Drosophila melanogaster: one gene and its partners. The protein of the gene in region 2 interacts with the protein of the main gene of each other region in a pairwise test. Each region holds a gene or a part of one and is shown on either strand. Other genes may lie near its edges.

What was found.
Region 1: the proteins of SkpA (region 2) and Skp2 interact in a two-hybrid assay, tested with the Drosophila melanogaster proteins (2 studies listed by BioGRID).
Region 3: the proteins of SkpA (region 2) and CG13085 interact in a two-hybrid assay, tested with the Drosophila melanogaster proteins (2 studies listed by BioGRID).

The regions. Positions count from the first base shown.
Region 1 is NT_033777.3:4,334,040-4,339,623, forward strand, and holds Skp2 (S-phase kinase-associated protein 2), read right to left. Parts: upstream 3,636-5,584; 5' UTR 3,568-3,635; coding exon 3,509-3,567; intron 3,304-3,508; coding exon 2,430-3,303; intron 2,370-2,429; coding exon 1,970-2,369; intron 1,907-1,969; coding exon 1,747-1,906; intron 1,691-1,746; coding exon 1,504-1,690; 3' UTR 1,372-1,503; coding exon of another isoform or gene 1,078-1,371; 3' UTR 840-1,077; downstream 1-839. Other genes in the region: CG14645 (uncharacterized protein), read left to right, coding at 1,078-1,371; CG1103 (uncharacterized protein), read left to right, coding at 4,033-4,264, 5,005-5,465.
Region 2 is NC_004354.4:653,823-658,604, forward strand, and holds SkpA (SKP1-related A), read left to right. Parts: upstream 1-2,291; 5' UTR 2,292-2,962; exon of another isoform or gene 2,963-3,276; 5' UTR 3,277-3,287; coding exon 3,288-3,776; 3' UTR 3,777-4,077; downstream 4,078-4,782. Other genes in the region: Hmt4-20 (histone methyltransferase 4-20), read right to left, coding at 1-261.
Region 3 is NT_033779.5:19,421,994-19,430,388, reverse strand, and holds CG13085 (uncharacterized protein), read right to left. Parts: upstream 6,340-8,395; 5' UTR 6,177-6,339; intron 6,121-6,176; exon of another isoform or gene 5,580-6,120; intron 4,184-5,579; coding exon of another isoform or gene 4,171-4,183; exon of another isoform or gene 3,495-4,170; intron 3,303-3,494; exon of another isoform or gene 3,269-3,302; intron 3,181-3,268; exon of another isoform or gene 3,142-3,180; coding exon of another isoform or gene 1,351-3,141; exon of another isoform or gene 1,165-1,350; intron 988-1,164; 5' UTR 982-987; coding exon 259-981; 3' UTR 119-258; downstream 1-118. Other genes in the region: Alp12 (alkaline phosphatase 12), read right to left, coding at 1,351-3,141.

The DNA.
Region 1 (5,584 bases), on a different chromosome or scaffold from region 2:
CCTGAACCTGATAGTTATCGATACTATCGATGTTGTCACGTATTGGCCAACATCGATGACAAGGGAGTTACAATCGACGAATGTTTACTCTTTGGCTTAATAGCCTATTCACACCAAAGGCAAAAGGTAAGTTATAGTTAAATACTATTAAGTACCGACATTGGTACAAATTTGTCTAAAGTGATTTCCCAAGAAGTGTGGAAAACGCCGAAATGTCCACCCCGTTAAGCATACTAGCACCAAAAGAATTTTTACTTTTGTAACGCACTTTAAATTTCCGTTAATATATAAAAAAATTACCAATTGGAGGGATGACTCAAAATAGTTTCAATTTTATATTTCTACCCGTTACTCGTAGAGTAATAGAGTATACTAGATTCGTTGAAACAGGCAGAAGGAAGCGTTCCCGACCATATGAAGTACATATATTCTTGACCAGGATCAATAGCCGATCTGGCCATGTACGTCTGTCCGTATGAAAGTCGAGATCTCAGGAACTATAAAAGCTAGAAGGTTGAGATTAAGCATACAGATTCTAGAGACAAATACCCAGCGCAAGTTAGTTGACCCATGTTGCCACGGGTGACGGGTATCTGATAGTCGAGGAACTCGACCATAGCCTTCTCTCTTGCTTTAGTTACTTTTATATTGCTGAATCTTTAAATTTGGCAGGCTGTCCAATACGAACTTTGTTCTTGAACCTATGATTACGAACTAGATCGAAAATATTTATATTTGTCGTTTCCCTATATGATTTTGTTTTGAATTGGCTTGATTATGCTTTCCTTGATAAAAGACATATTTTTTGTTTATTTTCTTAAATATTTAATATAGTATAAAAACAATGAATTTTTAAATGGAAAATTGGGTGACTCATTGTACCTTTTTTAGTTTGAACAGATTGGAGTCAAGGGCAAGTACTGTTATCTTTTCCTTCCTCTCTCGAGTGTTTACATTAATGCCAATTTATAAAAGCATTTTCTGGTAGTAGCTGCACTTGGATACTATACCGCTGCAACTATGTAACTATAAAAGGCTTCGAGTACTTCCAGTAGACCATAGAACATTTTTTGAAAGATGAAGGTTCAGCTCGCTCTAACCTCCCTACTAGTGATTTCTTTTGGCATTGCCCTCGCCTATGATGGTGACGGACAGCCGGGTTGCAAGACCCAAGCCGAGCTAGACATTGTAGTTTTCCGCAACAATTGGGATGCCACATCGTATTGGAAGTGTGAGACACTTAACAAACCAGCCATTGAAATCAAGTGCCCCAGCGAAACAGGATTCATGGATAGTCTCAAGAACTGCGTCAACTGGGAGGAATGGGAATGGGAGAAACCAGTGGAGCCCCTTAGCGAAGCGGATCAGTGACCAAACGCACAAAAATAAGAACAGCTAAATGTGATTATTTATGTTGTTGAATTGAGAATAAAATAACTGCGTTACGGGTGGCTTACGCAGCAAAACAAATTCAAATGGTAACGGAAGCAGCAGAGTCGAGACTTAGTCGCGCGTGCGCAGACCCCAAATGGAGGTGCGTCGCGTGCCAACAGTCGGGCGGGATACCGAACTGTGAATGAATTTGTTTATACCCATTTTTGGCAGTTGTTTCTCAAGGACTTCCATTGCAGTGTCCGACAGCATCCCAAATATGTCTAAATAGGTTAGCGAGGGCATACTCTTAAGTTCACTGCAAGGAAAATGACTGGGTAGGGATTAATCAGACGCTTGCTGGAAAAATCTTACATAAATTTGGTTGCTGGAATAAGATAGCATCGGGAGACGGACAAATATTCCAGCATCTTGAACTTCATAATTGCAGTAATGACTGTTGGTGTTAGACTATTGCAATCAGATAGATCAAGCTCCAACAACTGAGGACACCGTTTTTGCAGGGTTGCAACATCTAAACAAATTAAATTCAAATCAAAAAGGAAATATATCATTGAAGACGGTGGGAACTACTTACGCGAGTCAAACAAAACGCGGCGGCAGCCAGCGATATTGAGCCGAATTAAGTTGGGGGAAATGTGGGTAACCAACGCCGTAACAGCATCCGCACTTAGGTCAGTCCACGATATGTTTAAGCTGCTTAGGCTGGTAAGTGACTCCATCATCAGGCGAACACTGTTGGACGTCAGGCCACTAGCCATAGTCAGATTGACCGCCTCCAAAGCTTCATTCTTTGCGATCTCTGCACAGATGTCATCATCGAGCTCAATATTCTCTAAGCTTATTTTCTTTAGCTGGCGGCAGTGGGACAATAGTGTCAGCAGTGAGCTTCGGGTGATGGAAGCCATACTCAGGTCAAGATATTGTAATCGGGTCCTAAACACTTCTGTATATGGTGCAAATGCGGGCTCCTGGATCTACAGTTCAAAGATTAGATGCTCTTGTTTCCCGAAAACATAATGTTAGATGTAACTTACACTAGTCTGGGCCAGACGTATTACAAGGACTCCCCGCCGTACAATTTGCTCGAGGGCACCTGGTCTAATTGTCCGCAAACCCAAATCTAGCCTTGTCCACAAAGTCTCATCGCGAGAGCAGCGGTTAAAGCGTCGACAAACGGTAGCCATGCGCAGCAGCGTCTTCTTCGGGAGCCACTTAAAGATGTCAAGTAGTATTTCGTCTGAAAGTCTTTCAAAGTAGTTTATGCCGCTGTTGATGTGGGCACTCATGGCCGGGGTGCGAAACACAAAGAAACTGTCCGCTGCCACTATTCGGGTTGTAATATTTGTTGTCGAGGGCTTTTTTGCCTGGCGAACTTGCGCCAACCTGCTGGTTGATGGCTGAAAATTGAGCGAAGCAGTCCCATCAATCTGGTTGTTACAGGTGACTGCAGCCAGGGGGTTGCGCAAACGTTTGCTGGGCGAGTTTGAATTGCCGCTACCTTCAGAACCCAACGACGAGCGCTTAGCCTGCGCCAGAATCTGCAGCTTCTCGGCCGATTGACGGGACATCGACAGTGAATCCTCCACAGCTGGGCTATCCAGTGTGATGTCCCCCGTAGAGCCCAGACTTAGCCGTTGCGTGTGCTGTAGCTGGTGCGCCATGCGCGACACACTGGCGCACGGGGTCGTCTCATTTGAGTTGTCGTCGCTGGTGGCGCTAACCGCCAAAGCGATGGCCGAGAGGGCTGAGGAGCTGCTTTCTTCGGAATCAAGCATTCCGATTCCCATCTCTTCTAGGGCCTCAAAAGTTAGTGCCGAGGGCGAGGAAGGGTGCTCGTAGTGCGATGACTTCGTAGTGGAAACTAGAGCGCCCACAACAGAGACGTGGTTCTTATTAGTCGAGCGCTTTCTGCAATAGTCGAAAATTTATTAAAAGTGTGCAGTTCGATCGTGCTTCATCAGCAGAATGGCTGATGAAAGAAAGGGTCAAGAACCCTGCAATTCAATAAGTTACTTTCTTGACCTCTTTTGGACACTTGTGGCGCGTGTGACGTCACGCGACCAGTTCAGTGGTCTGCTGCTTGAACCCACACCCCAAGCAAAGGAAAACTCACCTGGTCACCGGGCACAAATTTTCCATGTTTTCGGAGCCTCTGTGCTTGCGACTGCTCATATTTACACGAAATCTATTTTTTCACCGCCGTAAACACAAAAACTTCGCGCTATTTTTGCATGGAACCAGGGTTGTCGAGCCATTTTGGTATGAGAATTGTATCGTTATCGAATATACTAGACGGGCCGTGGTTGCCAGACCAAATCCCAAATTAATGCTACCGTACTCTTTGAGAAAAAATATCCGCTCAGTCTTCTCTTCTGAGAAAAAAACAAGGGCAAGACAGTTTATATTAATTGTTTACCTGTGCAACAATCTTTTGTTCCGCGAACAAAGACTATATTTGCAATTGATCCCGCCGACATAGTCATAAAAGGGTAAGCAATACGCTGCAAGGCCACTGGCATTGCGTCCTCCGCTTACTAACGTTTCCTACTAACTTTCTTCGCTGCAGCTGGAGTCGGGCCCTAGACATTTCTTAATGGTGAAAACAGCATAGCCTTCTACATATGCCACCGGTCTTCCATGAGCATTATCAAGATGAGCTTGCACACACGGGCGTTAGTGTTCTCCACCTTCTTTGGCAGCTGCCTGGCTATTGGCCTCTTGCTCGTCAGCATGACCACTAATCACTGGGTGCGGGCCACTCCACGCCGCAAGAACTCGTCGGACGCCAAGGGTGAATTCAACTTCGGACTCTTCTTCGGCAACTACCACCTGAATCCCGGATTCGGAGTCCGCACAAATTCGGTTGATGGTGAGCAATCAAAGTAGCCTAGATAGCAGGGAAAACTAGATAGAGAGTGATCTTCTCATTACCTGCATCGTGAATTAGCCTCTTTAAACTTCTTGGGACGCTTTCTGAATGAATATACGATTAGGAAAATGTGCTGATTATTGGGGCATGTATTAGTTGAAAACCGATATTGTCCTGGATAAGACTGTTGTTAAAAATAGATTTACTTTTAAATTTGTTTAGTTGTGAAGATCACAAACATAATCGGGCGAGTTGATAAAATTAAATACCCGAATAATACTCATGATCAGTGCAGACATATCCAAAAATTAACCATTATGTATACTTTTCGATTACATTTATTTATCTTGCAGATCCTAAGGATATGCTTAAAAATTAAATTGTAAAAACCAAAATTGTTTTTGTTTTTCTTATTAATAATCAAGTGACACAACAAACTTTAGGGCTAAAGGGAAGTTACATTCTATTTAACAAAATTGAAAAATATTGAAATTTTTGGCGCAAAAAATATAATAGAAGCGAGGACATAGGGAACCATATTTTACTTGCTTTTATATAATATGGTTGAAATTTGGGGTTTACAATTTTTAAAATTGCAAGGGTATTATATTGCGAGCCACAAATATGCAACATAGAATAAAAACGTCGTGGAAGCTTAACAGCTTTTGGAGATGCAAATAAAATATAAAATTTTTAAAGCAATCCTGTTTAACTTTTGTTATTTCACACCGTATTTTCAGTGTATACCTTTGTTCGGACAGAAAATGACGACACTAGCTTCTGGCTCTGGCTACTTACTACCTTGGGCACCGGTTTCGCACTGCTGGCCTGCGCTGTGGCTGCCATCGCCGCTGTCCTAAAGTCAGCCTCTGCGGCCAAAAAAGGAGGCACAATGATGCTGCTCCTGACTTCCAACATATGCGCCGCGGGGGCGCAAATAGTGGCGTTTGTAGCTTGGCTCGTGCAGTTCTACCAATATTTCATACACAACGTTCTTTTAACTGAGCAGCAGCAGCAGCACTGGTACAGCAATGGACTGGCTTATCTTGGTTACAGCTTTTACCTGGTCGTGGTATCCACCGTCGTTGTGCTGCTGAATATCGCCATCCTGTTGTACGCCCAGCGACTCGGCCTCCGCAACCGCCAATGCCTGGAGGCGCCATGTGACGATAAAAACAAGACCGCCATAATGCTGTACTAAGGAAGGCGAGAAGGATTCCCAAATGAACCTCTACGAAGTTGCTTGGCAAACGTACGAGCAGCGACACCTAGTAATCTCAGTGGCTCAAGTACTTGTGCCTTACTTAATGCCTTTACCTT
Region 2 (4,782 bases):
CACCTGGTGGTGCTGCTGGTTCGTCTGGTGGTGTGCAGATGGAGGTGCGGATGGCGGAGGGCCATGGCTCTTGTGGGACATGGACGACAACAGAGCCGCAGCCGTCGATGTCGACGTGGAATTGGTGGCTAGTGAAGACGTTACGCTGGTGGTGCTACTGGCCGAAGCGGTGGGGCCACCGCTTGTGCTGCTGGAGCTGCTGCTGTTTGTAAATCTGCTGCCAGTTTCACCGCGCCGCGTGTGGTTAGAGCCGACGACCATTCTGCACGACAGTCTGCAAGGATGAACAGCATTACAAGTATATTCAAAACGATGTGCACACTTTTTCACTCAAATACTAATACGATCTTAGATATACCAATTCCACCAAACCCAATCAACCCGGCAATTGTCAGCTGTTTTGGAATTTGAATCACTGACAGGTATAAGCTCTTTTATTACATCTGGCAACGCCGCTGTTGTCTGCGAACACGACAAAGAGCGAGATGGACATAAGCTTTCAGGACAAGACTAGGACAAAGGCAAACGTCCTGCACCCATACATACACACTCTCTCACAGGATTGGATGACTTGCAATAATCCTCAATCCGCAAACCATATGTTCCGGCATTTTGCCAATATATTCGCTCCGTTGAAAATGGCCCTAATTTAGTTTTTATTCCTACGGCTTCGCGTTTGAAAGAGAGAGAGAGAGACCGAGAAAGAGGGGGCTTGTAACTGATGTCGTCGACAGCCATCCCTCTCGCTCGCACTTATTCCAAGCCCTTTTAGCCCATGCACACACACGTTTAACAAAAATCAATTAACTTGAAAGCACATGTAAAAAAAAGTATTGATCCACAAAAAACAAAAGGCACTTCGGTAATCCTGGAATACACACACTTACTGCCGAAAATATTTAAAATGAATGGGTACGCGTATATATTTATATGCTGGTGAACAAAAGGCGAGCATAACAAAAATGTCTTATCGATTTGCATGCGCAGCAGACAGTAATTGCAAATCTTGTATTTTCTTGAGTCTGTGCAACAACTGAAATACCTTTCTGGGCATAAACTATCATAAACACAAGTGGGTGGTGCTGGGAAACATCGCTGGAATTGAATATTTGTTTGTTGGTCGATTTGTTCTGAATGGAAACGAATGTCGTTTGCAAATTGCTCTCTCAGCTGTTTACAAACGCATACCACATAACGCAGGTGAGAGAGAGAGGGAGGCATATGCGCAGTGAGAATGGAAGATGAAGGGTTGCCAAGTGCGCAAAGGCTTGCAAATTAAGTACACTTGTGTGCGGGGTAACCGAAAAACGGGTGTTTACAATAAATTTCGCTGGGTGGATGTAGCTTTGTAATTTGAGTTCGCCAATTTTTTTTGTTGTTAACAGCATTTCGAAGCGGTTGCCAACCCTAGACGCTGGCTGGTTGCATGGTAACGAAAAATGGCGGCGCCTGTTACACACACTCACACACACATGCACGCACAGTCTGCTGTGTTTATGCACTTCATGCTGTTCCGATTTTTTTTTTGCACTTTTTCGATTTGTTGTCTGCATTTACCTTAAATGAATTTATTAACTAAGGCGATATTGTGCCTCTCGCTCAATCTCGCAAAACGATGCTTTGTCTGCTGCTTCTCTGTGCGTGTGTCCGTCTCTTTCCACGGCTTTTCGTCGAGACTCACATATACAAACGGCGACACACTGGATTGGAGCTGGACTCCGTTTTGGATGGCTTGGCTTTGGCTGCGTACCCAAAATAAATCGCGCTTGCAGTCCCAAATCATTTTAGTTCTTGACGCCTTTGTTCCACAAAAACTTCCAACCGCCGTCCATGGCTCGTGCTTTCTCTTTCGCTCGCGAGACGCTCCAAAAGTCGCGAGTATGGGAAGAGAATGTATCCCTCGCTCTTTCACGCCTAGAAGCGGCTGTAGCACACACAAGCACACGTAAACCCAGCCGTATGCATATACATATATTCCCTCTACTAGCGAGACGTGTGTACGTGCGTATGTATGTATGCTTTTTTCACTTCTTTCTCCTCTGCGTTCTTTGCACCAAGTGTCGCTGTTGCTATTTGCTACCGCCGCTCCTCTTGACGAATAAGTCGGGACTTGTATCAGCTCTAATTCGGACTTAGTTTACAAAATGCGGCTGCTTTTTTTCCGCGATACTCGGATTAGTGATGTAAAAAGACGTTGATGCTTCGACCACTGAAGTCAGTGCGATATGTATCGATAATTGAATGCCATCGATTGCTACGATTAAAACTGCCACCGCAGTTAGCGGAGACGCTCACCATTCTCTATTCGCCATTTGAAAGTATCGGTGTAATTTGTTTTCAGAGAAATTAATTTCCGTTTACTGTGCAATTCGGTGTGAAAGTGTTCAGATTTATCAATGCGTATTCTGCTTTCGACTTCGCCACCAATCTGTGCTGCAAGTTACCATTACCAGGTCCACCTGGTTCCCGCCAGTTTTCTTTCATTGTGGCTAGTTGTTGTTCGTGCCTTCGATAAAGACGTTTAGAGGTGTTTTTAGAGTTTCGCCATCTGGTCACTATAGCCGTTTCGTTTTTTACGTGAGTATTGTGAATTTGGTGTGTTGATTTATATCTCAGTTGGAGCCTGCGTGGAAATAGTGTCAGTACGTTTAAAGGCATCATCGTAAGGTTAGTCGGAAAACAAATAAAAAGCCTACAAATAGCAAGCAAGAACGCTTTCGCAACCACAAGAAAAACGAACATACGCACGCATCCATCTGTGGTAGAGTCGGCTTGTGTGGGGGTGAGTGGATGTGTGGGTGAGCATTTCTGGAAAGTGCCGTTCTCTATGTTTCGATTCTACTTATCCCTTCATCACCATTTCATCGTTGAATCATCACGAAAGAAACATCGAAAGTGCACAATCGTTTGTTATCTTTGTACGAAAACAACGGTGATTTCCACACAGGCATAACCTGCAAGAGTAATACGATACAAATTTTGATCTGATATGACCTCATTTTAGTCGGTTTGAATTTTAAAGAGAGCGACTCTGCAAACTGCAGGGATATGAACATACAAAATTCACAAATGATTGTTTGCATCCTAGTTGCTTATATTCATTTACACGCATGCTTATATGCTTACATCTGTTATCAATAATTGACGACTTGGTGCATGCGAAGCAAACGCATTGAAATGACTATTGGGATCCACACACTGTTAAAAAACACACTGATTGCACTGCCACACATTTCTCAACTAGAACCTAATGTTTTATACTGAACTTAACTGCAGGAAAGCCCAAAATGCCCAGCATCAAGTTGCAATCTTCGGATGAGGAGATCTTTGACACGGATATCCAGATCGCCAAGTGCTCCGGCACTATCAAGACCATGCTGGAGGACTGCGGCATGGAGGACGATGAGAATGCCATTGTGCCGTTGCCCAATGTGAATTCGACGATTCTTCGCAAGGTGCTTACCTGGGCTCACTACCACAAGGACGACCCCCAGCCAACGGAGGATGATGAGAGCAAGGAGAAGCGCACAGACGACATTATCTCATGGGATGCAGATTTCCTAAAAGTCGACCAGGGCACACTGTTTGAGCTGATATTGGCAGCGAACTATCTGGACATTAAGGGCCTTCTGGAGCTCACCTGCAAGACTGTTGCAAACATGATTAAGGGAAAGACTCCCGAGGAAATACGCAAGACCTTCAACATTAAGAAGGACTTTTCGCCCGCCGAGGAGGAGCAGGTGCGCAAGGAGAACGAGTGGTGCGAGGAGAAGTAAAGCGCGGCATTTCGCGGGACCAACATTAAGTTGAAACAGCTAGGGGATTCGGGAACGAATTGGATTTGCAGCATTGCAACTTTACTTAGTTGCTACTTTCATTTACATTTTTTTTTATTTTTAACCCCAGCAGAGACTCGATTTAAATTGTGTATAAATGATCTGTTGCTGATTTGATTCGCGGGGTTCATTTTTTGTCGTAAATATATCTCATATACATACATATGCGAGATTGTAACACTCTCTTTAACCTATTGGAGTAACACTTGATTTCACTTTAATAAATATAACTACCCAACACAAAGACACAGCCTATTTTGTGGGCTTCCCGGAGGGGTTAGGGTCCAAGGACTTCTCAAATTAAGAAGTGCTCTTTATTCGTTATCTTGTGTTTAGAAACGTTTGCAAGCGTTTGAAATGGATACGCATGCCATTTATGGTCCAGTCGGTAAAATTTTACGTGTTCCCAAGAAGGTACATATATATCTTAGATTATCTTATCTATAGAAACTACATTCATAAGATCACGCTTTCGGCGAATAGCGAGTAATACTGTAGCTGCCACTTTGCCACTTAGTGTGCAATTGAAATGCGCGCCAACGCATGTTCTCATATGCGGAGCGTTTAGCAGCCCTTAAAAAGCTTTTCATGTTGCTTTTAAAAAGCTACGACGGGTGTGGAAATTAGATTTGTGACGCTTTATATATCTTTTTTTTATATCGTCTGGGGTACAGCATGGTTTTAGGATTTTAGAAGAAAGCAGTAATTTTGTAAGAATCGAAGAACGGGGGGATATTTATAATTTTCATATTAACCTTGTCTTTGTTTGCTTTTGAAATTATGAATACTTCGAAAGATAATTATCTTGTGCGCATTCCATTCTGGCTTAGACTGGGTTGAGCTAAAAATGATTTGAAATACAAATTTTTAGGTGTCCGCTGATATATAAACAGTATGATGTTTTTGCACTTTTTTCCCTGAAGTTTTCCTTGTTGTCTCGCTTGCC
Region 3 (8,395 bases), on a different chromosome or scaffold from region 2:
TCTCTCTAACGGAAATTTAAAACTTAAGTCAAATTGTATTCAATTATCTACTTTTATTAACTCAAATTAGTGCAAACGAGAAATTGAATTCTGTCGAAAAGAAGAGCTTTTCGGTTGTACATTTGTTTGAGTGTGTATTTTAAATGCAATTGCAATCTCTTGCATAGTAAAAGACAAAAATATTTACAAAAAGAGTGAGTTCATATCAAATATAGAATCCAATTCCACTGAGATCTCTGCAAACTGTGCCACATGTACTCAGGCGGTCTTGAAGTACTCATTATAGCACTTGTAGTAGTTCTGTATGTAGGCAGGCGGGCCATATATCTTAAAATCTCCCTTGATTAGGTCACTGACGAGGAAGCTCAGGTTCGGGCACAGCCGTGTCAGGTTTTCGGGGTTAAAGCCCATGGAACCCAAGGTGGTTAGGTGAATGAGCTTCAGCGATGGCAATCTGTTGAGTAGTTGCGGCTGCAGATAGGAATCACCCGTCTGATTGTCAATGTGGAGTAGAGCGAGTGCCTTTAGCTTATCTGCCGATTGCAAGAGCTGTGCTATCTGGTAGTCTCGCACATCGCAGTGACGCATGTCCAGAAATAGCAGCGATGGAACCACCTGGCCCACAGTGCCCACTATCTCCGCCGACCACTTGGCATGGTCCAACTTCAGAGCCCGAATCCTGCGGCTCTCGGCGGCCCCTTGGCACAGTGGCCTCAGGTACCGGAGTACGTCCTGGTCCTTGGTGGAGTAGCCCACGTTGATGTGCAGGCTGTTCAGTTGGCCACCCAACTTAATGAGCAAATCTTCGTGGAGAGCAGGCGGCTCTCTCATGCTGAACCTCAAGTCCCTGAATCGATGCAGCTGTCTCTCGATGGCGCCTCCAAAACAGGGAATTTCATTGTAGAGCGGCGCTAGGTCCTCCAAACTCAAATAACCAAATATAATATCCAAACAATCGTCGTTCAGTTGCAGTAAGTCCATTTTGCACTAAAAAAAAAACCGCAACCTTTAATGAATAGTAGTAATCACATTTATTTGTGCAGGCACTAGCCTTAAACATCAGATTTAGTTAGCTTCTAGGGTAATAATATTATTGGTTGTCAACATAATGGGATTGTAATAAAGATAAAGAACAAAGATGGCAAAGTAAATGTTGAATGTTTTCTCTTCAAATTAATGTTTATTCAACAATCTCATTCGGTAAAATCCTTCAATGGTTTCAGTTAACTCATGTCCTATTTCGGTGACCCAATCTTTGACTTATATCTAATTTGTAAGCTTGGCAAGAACAGTTTTCATTATAACTACATATATCAAAGTGTTTTGTTGGCTACGCTTTTGTTTCTACGCTTATATGGGCGTCAGCTCGGCCAGAGTTTCCGCGATGGAGCTATCCCGGAATCTTCCGATCCTCAGGGCGTACGATATGGCGTGCGCCACATAGCTCTGCTCGTGGACGCCGTGGAACAAGTAGGACATGGCACCATCCGCGTGAATCGTTACATCCGAGCCACCGTGCAGATTCTCGTCCGTGTTGATTGCTGCCTGCTGGGTGTACTCCCAGGCGGTAATATCGTCAGCAGTTGGATCCTTGCGGCTCTGCGTTTGCGGATCCACCTGGAATCCCTGATAGCTGGTGCCATAGGTTAACGTGGTGTACGGCGTCCCTTCTGTCTTCGAGTTTCCCGCCAAGCCGAGTATACTGGATCCCCGATCGGGATGCCCATTGATGGTCAGGCTGTGCGAGTGATCGGCGGTCACAATGACCAAGGTTTCGTCCAGGCGATCCGATGACTTGAGGAAGGAAAGTGTAGACTCAACGGCTGCGTTCAGTTCGAGCACCTCACTTAGCGCCTTTCGAGCGTTTCCCCTGTGATGGGCTTGGTCGATTAGACCGGCTTCCACCACGAGCAGAAACCCCTTATCACTGTTTCCCAGGACCTCCAGCGCCTTGAGGGTCATATTGGACAGCGAGGGCATGCCGGCGTCACTGCGATCTCGTTCGTGGTCGTACATTAGGTGTCCATTGGCGAAAATACCAAGTACGTAGTCAACATCCTGACCATTGAGATTCCACAGCTCACGATTGTTTTGCACAACCGCATGTGACACTCCCTCATCCGCTTTCTTTAGCCTCCAATCTCGGATGAGATCTCGTCCATCCTTCGACTGGCCGGCCCAAGTGTCCAGGGGATCGGCTGCTGAACCGGTTACATCTGAGACCAGCATCTGACGACCACCGCCCATGATTACGTTTATGCTCTGACCCGTCGGCTGTTCGATCAGCTGGCGAGCTATGTCCATACATCCCTGACCCTGAGCCTCGGCTGGCATTCCGCTCTCACACTCCCATCGACGATCCGGCACGTGGGCGTAGAGGGCAGCCGGAGTGGCATGCGTCACCCGGGTGGTGGTCACGAAACCCGTTCGCATTCCATCCACCTGGGCCCACTTGAGGATCGTCTGAACGTGGTGGTCCTCCTTCAGGGATGCGCTGCAGTTCCCCAGCGGTACATTTGCATCAACTCCTCCCGTTTCGTAGTTTACCTTTACTCCGCCAAAGAGAGCTGTGGCCGTGGAGAACGAGTCCGGTACTTGCTTGTCGGCACAGTAGGTCTTCAGCAGTCCCATGTCCGGAAACTGCTCCCAACGCAGGAGTCCCTCCTCCTTGACTCCGAGTATCCGTGCGGCCGTCACCGTGTTCGGACCCATTCCATCGCCCACGAACAGGATTACGTTCTTGGCTCGCCGGCGATTGAACTGCCTGGAAACGGCCTTCTGAAGCTCATCGATTCCCTGATCGTACCACTCCTTTTGCTCCTTGGGCAGATCTACGGGCCAGTAGCTCACCGTCTCCATGTCGCCCACATCGCCGGACATGCCGTAGTGCACAACGAAGCCAATGCACATGGCGGTTATCAGGAGGGCCGAGAAAACCACGGATATGAGGAAGAGCCTGGATCTGAACCATTTCGTGTGCTGCACGGGATTGCTCTGGTCATTGCCCTGAAAGCTACCTATTTCCACCGTCTCCTTGGCACTGGAGTCATCCAAATTGTTCAGCTGCACTTCCGTCATGTCCACATCGCTGAGTTTTCGAAACTTTTGGCTATTTATCGGCGTTCCACTTCGCTTTTCCATTTCTCATTAACGTCTGGATCGGCCTAATCTCTACACAGACTGAAAATGTGAGATATATTGCAGATTGTTAACTAATCATTGTTTACCACAGATAAAAGACACTTTATAGACAGAGAGAAGTGAGTACCTTTGATATGCGATATTTTCGGTTGATTTTAAAGTGGTATAAACGTTATATATTTATCATCTTAGATGATAAAGCCAATATATTATTATATATAAAGTTTAAATTCTGAGTGTAACAGTACTAATGCAAATAGTTATTAAACCCTTTACACATGTAATAATTTCTCATCCCCAATATTTTAACATAGAAACACTGTAGCGTTGAAATTATTCTGTTCTTTTCGTACTTTTTCATGGGAACAGCTGTGAGTGAATGTTTATATTTCACAGAACACAAGGTAATATGATTTGTATACGATTTGAATGCCGCTCACTGACGAGAATTCCAGTTGGAACACCTACCAACTTTCCAACAGTTAGTTTTAAACCGTTGGTTGGTATTATCGACAGCGGTAAGTTGATAAGTATTTTAGTTAAGTTTACCACTTGATTTCTTCCTCGGTCGGTGCGATAGTTCCAACTGCTATCGATAGCTAATCAGCTGTTCGCTCTCTCCAGTTGAGCGAGCGTGCGCTTGTGCTTGTGTGTGTTCCTGCGTTCGTGTACGTGATTCAATGTTTTTTTTTTTGTATTGTTTATGACCGCCGCCGCTCCAAAATTAAAGTGATTCATATATAAAACTCGTCTCCAACTCGCGGCGAAATCCACCGATACTCGCCATTCGGTCGCTGGCAACAGCTTAAAATTAGTCTCCGGCCAACTCCGCGCTTTTCAGTTGCGGGTGAACAGGAAAATAAAGTGTTTGCGTGGACTTGTCGCTCTTCGCTTTCAATCAGCATCAATTAAAAAACGCGTGTGCTTGTGCCAAATAAATCCAGAAAACTGAGCATTCCAATTGGACAAGAGCGGAAAACTACACGCACACTAACGCACACAGGGCGGAAAAACAACAACACCATCGCCATGGACGATTTGGGTAAGTAAGTGGTGGTCCACTTTTCCTCGGGGAAAAGCGACTTCCTCAAGCGGAGCATTCCACAGCATAAACCGTGTGACGTAGGCAAAAGCCGCAAAGATAATTCTGCGACTTCAAGGTCAGTCGCTAATTGGAGTTAATTAACATGTAGCTGAGGATTCTGCCGTTGGCCGCCAGGTGGCGACACAGGAAGTCGAAAATCTCACGCTTGAATAATTTTCGTTTACAGTGAAGAGTGGCTAAAACGTACCTCACGTGTTGAATGGCAACGTGTGTTCTGTGTATCTTTTTAGTTATTAATCTGTTATTCACTTCTGTTTTAAGAAATTGTTATTATGTAAAAAAGTTTTGAGTGATCTTCAGTCATTGACCGAACAAGATGTGTTATTTGTTTAATATATTTCCCAATATACAAAAATATTTATTATTGAATATTTCTTGAAACTCAATATTTACTGTTTTTCGAAATTCTTATCGTAAGCATACAATCATTAATCACGATTAAAAATGGTTGTGTTACGTGCTTTAAAATTCTTGATGATGAATTTCAAGTGCTCGTCTTATCTTTGAACCCGTTCATATGTACATGGGTCCATACATACATATGTACATACATACATACTTATGTACATACATACATATGTGCAAAGTGCACAAGTAAATGAATGAGCTTTTAATTCGGGAAGTGGCTATTGCGATAGCTGTGGTCCGATTCGCGCATTCCTTGCACTTTTATGAATAATCCTAATTCCTTGAATCGAACATAAAAGCATCGCGCTCAGCACTTCCAGTGTGAAATCATTTACAATTCTAGAAAGCAAGGAGGGTGTGGTTTCTTGCAGCCCCAAGTTCGAAACCCTTGTACTCATGTGAATGATCTGGTCTGAGAGAGGCAGCTTAATCAGCCGGGCTGTATTTGCTTTCTTCGCTGCCCCACAGTGCTCTTTTAGTCTCCATCAGCGAAATAAAAGTCTACATGTCGTCTCACTTTATTTTCTTTATGACACAATTCTTCGCTGTTTCGGAATGTCTTTTGATAAAAATATAAAAGTGAAGCAAAACGAAATCTGCAGCCGAGAGTTGTGTGTCCAGAAATTCTTAAGAAATGACTAAAGGCCAGGCCACTAACACTTATGAAGAATTCCAGCTGACTTGCCCTACACCTACGCACAGTGGTCTAAGAGCCCGCTAAAATTTGCTTATCGGCTGGGCTTGTAGGATTCTAGATCTTAAGAAACTTTCATATAGAGCTTTTGCAAAATCATGTTAAATAACAAATAATATTTCAGATCACTTTTTAGATTACAATAATATAATAATAACTATAATACTGAAATTCGTTCGAGATCTTAAAATCTCAGCATAAATATTCTGCCCTCGAAGCTTTACTTCGCACAGGAAGTAGAGGCTTCAGCTTCATCTCCAACTTCATCTTGATCTTCTCCAGCAACTCAGTTGCATCAATCTTGCTTTGCTGCCATTAGTGAGTGCGCGCCCACTTCATCGCCCACTCGACACGCAATGTCTTCTGTTCGTGTTGCGTGTGCGCACTGTAACAGCAAAGACGAGATGATCTGTCGAGATCGGTTAGGTCTGTCTGGGCATTGAGCGTCGATGGCGTTTTCCGCCGAGGGGAGCACTCCAACTGCAGAGCAATGATCGCTTATGGTTACGGGGAAAGGTTCGCACAGTGGGACGAAAGGTTAAAGAGTTTTTGAGATCCCATTTCTGCCTTTTCTGTGATCGTATCAATGTATATCACAGTGTTCATGGTCATGAAAGTATATAATTAGTTATCTTCTATGTTTGTCGATAAACAATTGTAAAGCCTAAGCAGCTGTTAAGTGATAAGCATTTCCAACATGACTGTCCCAGAGGAATTTTGTTTATACCAATTTTCACTGTCATTTTATGAAACATTTAATCTTGCGGATTGTCTGTACAATTGAAGATAGTTTCAGAAATGTTTTGATATTGGATGCCTTTGACTCACGTTTTCGTTTATTCGTCAGCAACGAAGGGGTTGGTTTTCTTGGCAGCTGGCCCACTGTTCACACACCCAAAGGAAAGCTCCAATCGGGCGACAATATTTTCGTCCGCTCTGGTTTCCTTTCGCTGTGCCTCCCACTTGCGGTCGAAATGCTCAGCCGCAGGCCGCAAGCCAAAATGAAAAGCCACTCCAAGTGAAAAGCTACGTGGTGGGGCTCTTTCTCTCTTTTAACTGGCTCTCTTGGCACTGAAAATAAAATACGACAATATGGACTCTGATTTAAAATACATTTTTTTTAAATTCGATTTTTCAAAATTAGTTTACTACTTGTTTACTAGTTTATTAGTTGTTTACTCAGAAACAACAATAATCATAATACTGGTTTCACAAGCTGTAACCGCTGATACATACTTTTTAAACATTCCTTTAGATATATATTACTTTAGATATAGCCCCTATTACGAAGCTAAGCTATCGTTTTGAATATACTATGCCTATCCATACATCCATACATCTATAAATCTAAGAAGATTTTTTCGCAGTGCAGTTTGTTTACCAGCTCTCAAACGCTTCGCTCTCTTGCTCCCCCGCTCTCCGTGAGCAGCTGCGAGAGAGCCGGAGCGCTCGTCTATTGGAGCCTCAGCATCGGGCCCCCCTTTGGATTTCAGTCGATTGCGACGCTTTTACTGAATCGCGAGCGCAGCGCGTGTGTTTTTCGGAGTCTCTCGATTGCGGTCTCCCAACGGCGTCCTACGATCTCTGGGATTAATATATAGAATATGTGACAACACACTGCCAAAGGTGCAGGCAAAAGTGCACAGATAACGCGATAGAATATACATATAAGAAACCAAGCCTAATCAAAACAAAAGGCAACGAAAAAGTGTTTAACGGCAAACTACGGCGGGAAAAAGTTGATGAAAATCAGTGGAATCGTGTTAGTGGCAGGTTGGAGCGTGGGAAATTGTTTACTTCGAGTGCAAGAACAGTTTGCAGTAAAAAAAAAAGTTGACAAACATCAAAAGATATCTAGCACTAAGATAAACGATAAAGCAGGAATGCCAGAAGCAGTTAGCTAAAAAAAATAATATAATATAATAAACTGGCCAAGATTTATGGATCCGTGTCACTCGCCTTAAGATTCCACTAACTCTTGGCAAATCTTTTCGGCGCGTTGCTCGCAAAACATTTCAATTTCATTAGCATTTCCACTAATTATGGAACTAATTATCAACGGACAAGACATTCGAATATATGACATATTTGCCCAGATCTGGCAGAGCATAGAATTTTGGTTAGCCCCATTAATTTTCGCCTCGGGGCCCCGAACGGATTAAGATCGTGGGTGTGTTGAGATGGAAATTAATTCGGTATTTCTGTGTTTTTCTGGAGGGAAATGACCGAAATAGCCAAACAAACATAACAACAGGCAGCAAAAGCAATTAAATTGTGCCCACTTAATCTATTAAAATTATGACATTTTTCACATATTTCAAGCAATCGAAGCCAAGTGCATTCTCACGAGTGGTGGTGGTAGTGCGATGGGGGGGGGGGGGACTTCCTTCCCCTTCCCCTCGTAAAAGTATCTCGAGTTACGACAGCAGATGGAAATGCTGGAGAATGATGTAAACTCGGCTGACATAGTGCGCACAAATGAATATTTTGTTGTTGGGGGGTTCTGCACTTACGAGAATCGCTTTCGTTTTCTCCCCAATATTTTGTATCTCGCAGATACGTTCAGTGGATGCCATTTGTTTACGACCAGACAGCTGCTGTCTTTGTCTCTCCGATTGTCTGTGCGTTTTGAAACCTCTAACTAAGTATCTACAGATCACTCTGGATCTCTGGATTATTTGGGTTTAAAAGCTCGTTTTAAGCCCCAACTACTTAGCACCTCTGGATTCTCCATCATCGTAATTCATAGTGCAGTGAGTTCATCGCCAGGTTTGAGTTCGATTTTCGTTTGCTCAGCGAGTTGCTCTGTGTTTTGTTGTTGTTGTTCCTTGTTTCTGTTCTTTCAACTGGAAACAAGATTCTTATCGCCCAGCCATACAAATTCAATTAGAGTGTGTTGTTTCGATTGCTAGCGAAAGATGAGTGGCTTCGATAGATTTCGAAATCGTTAATTGTTAGCAGCGAGTTGATGTGCAATTAAAACATTGGGTTAGATTCATTGCTCACAAATATTTTGAAATAAATAAGTGCAATACTATTGAATTGTT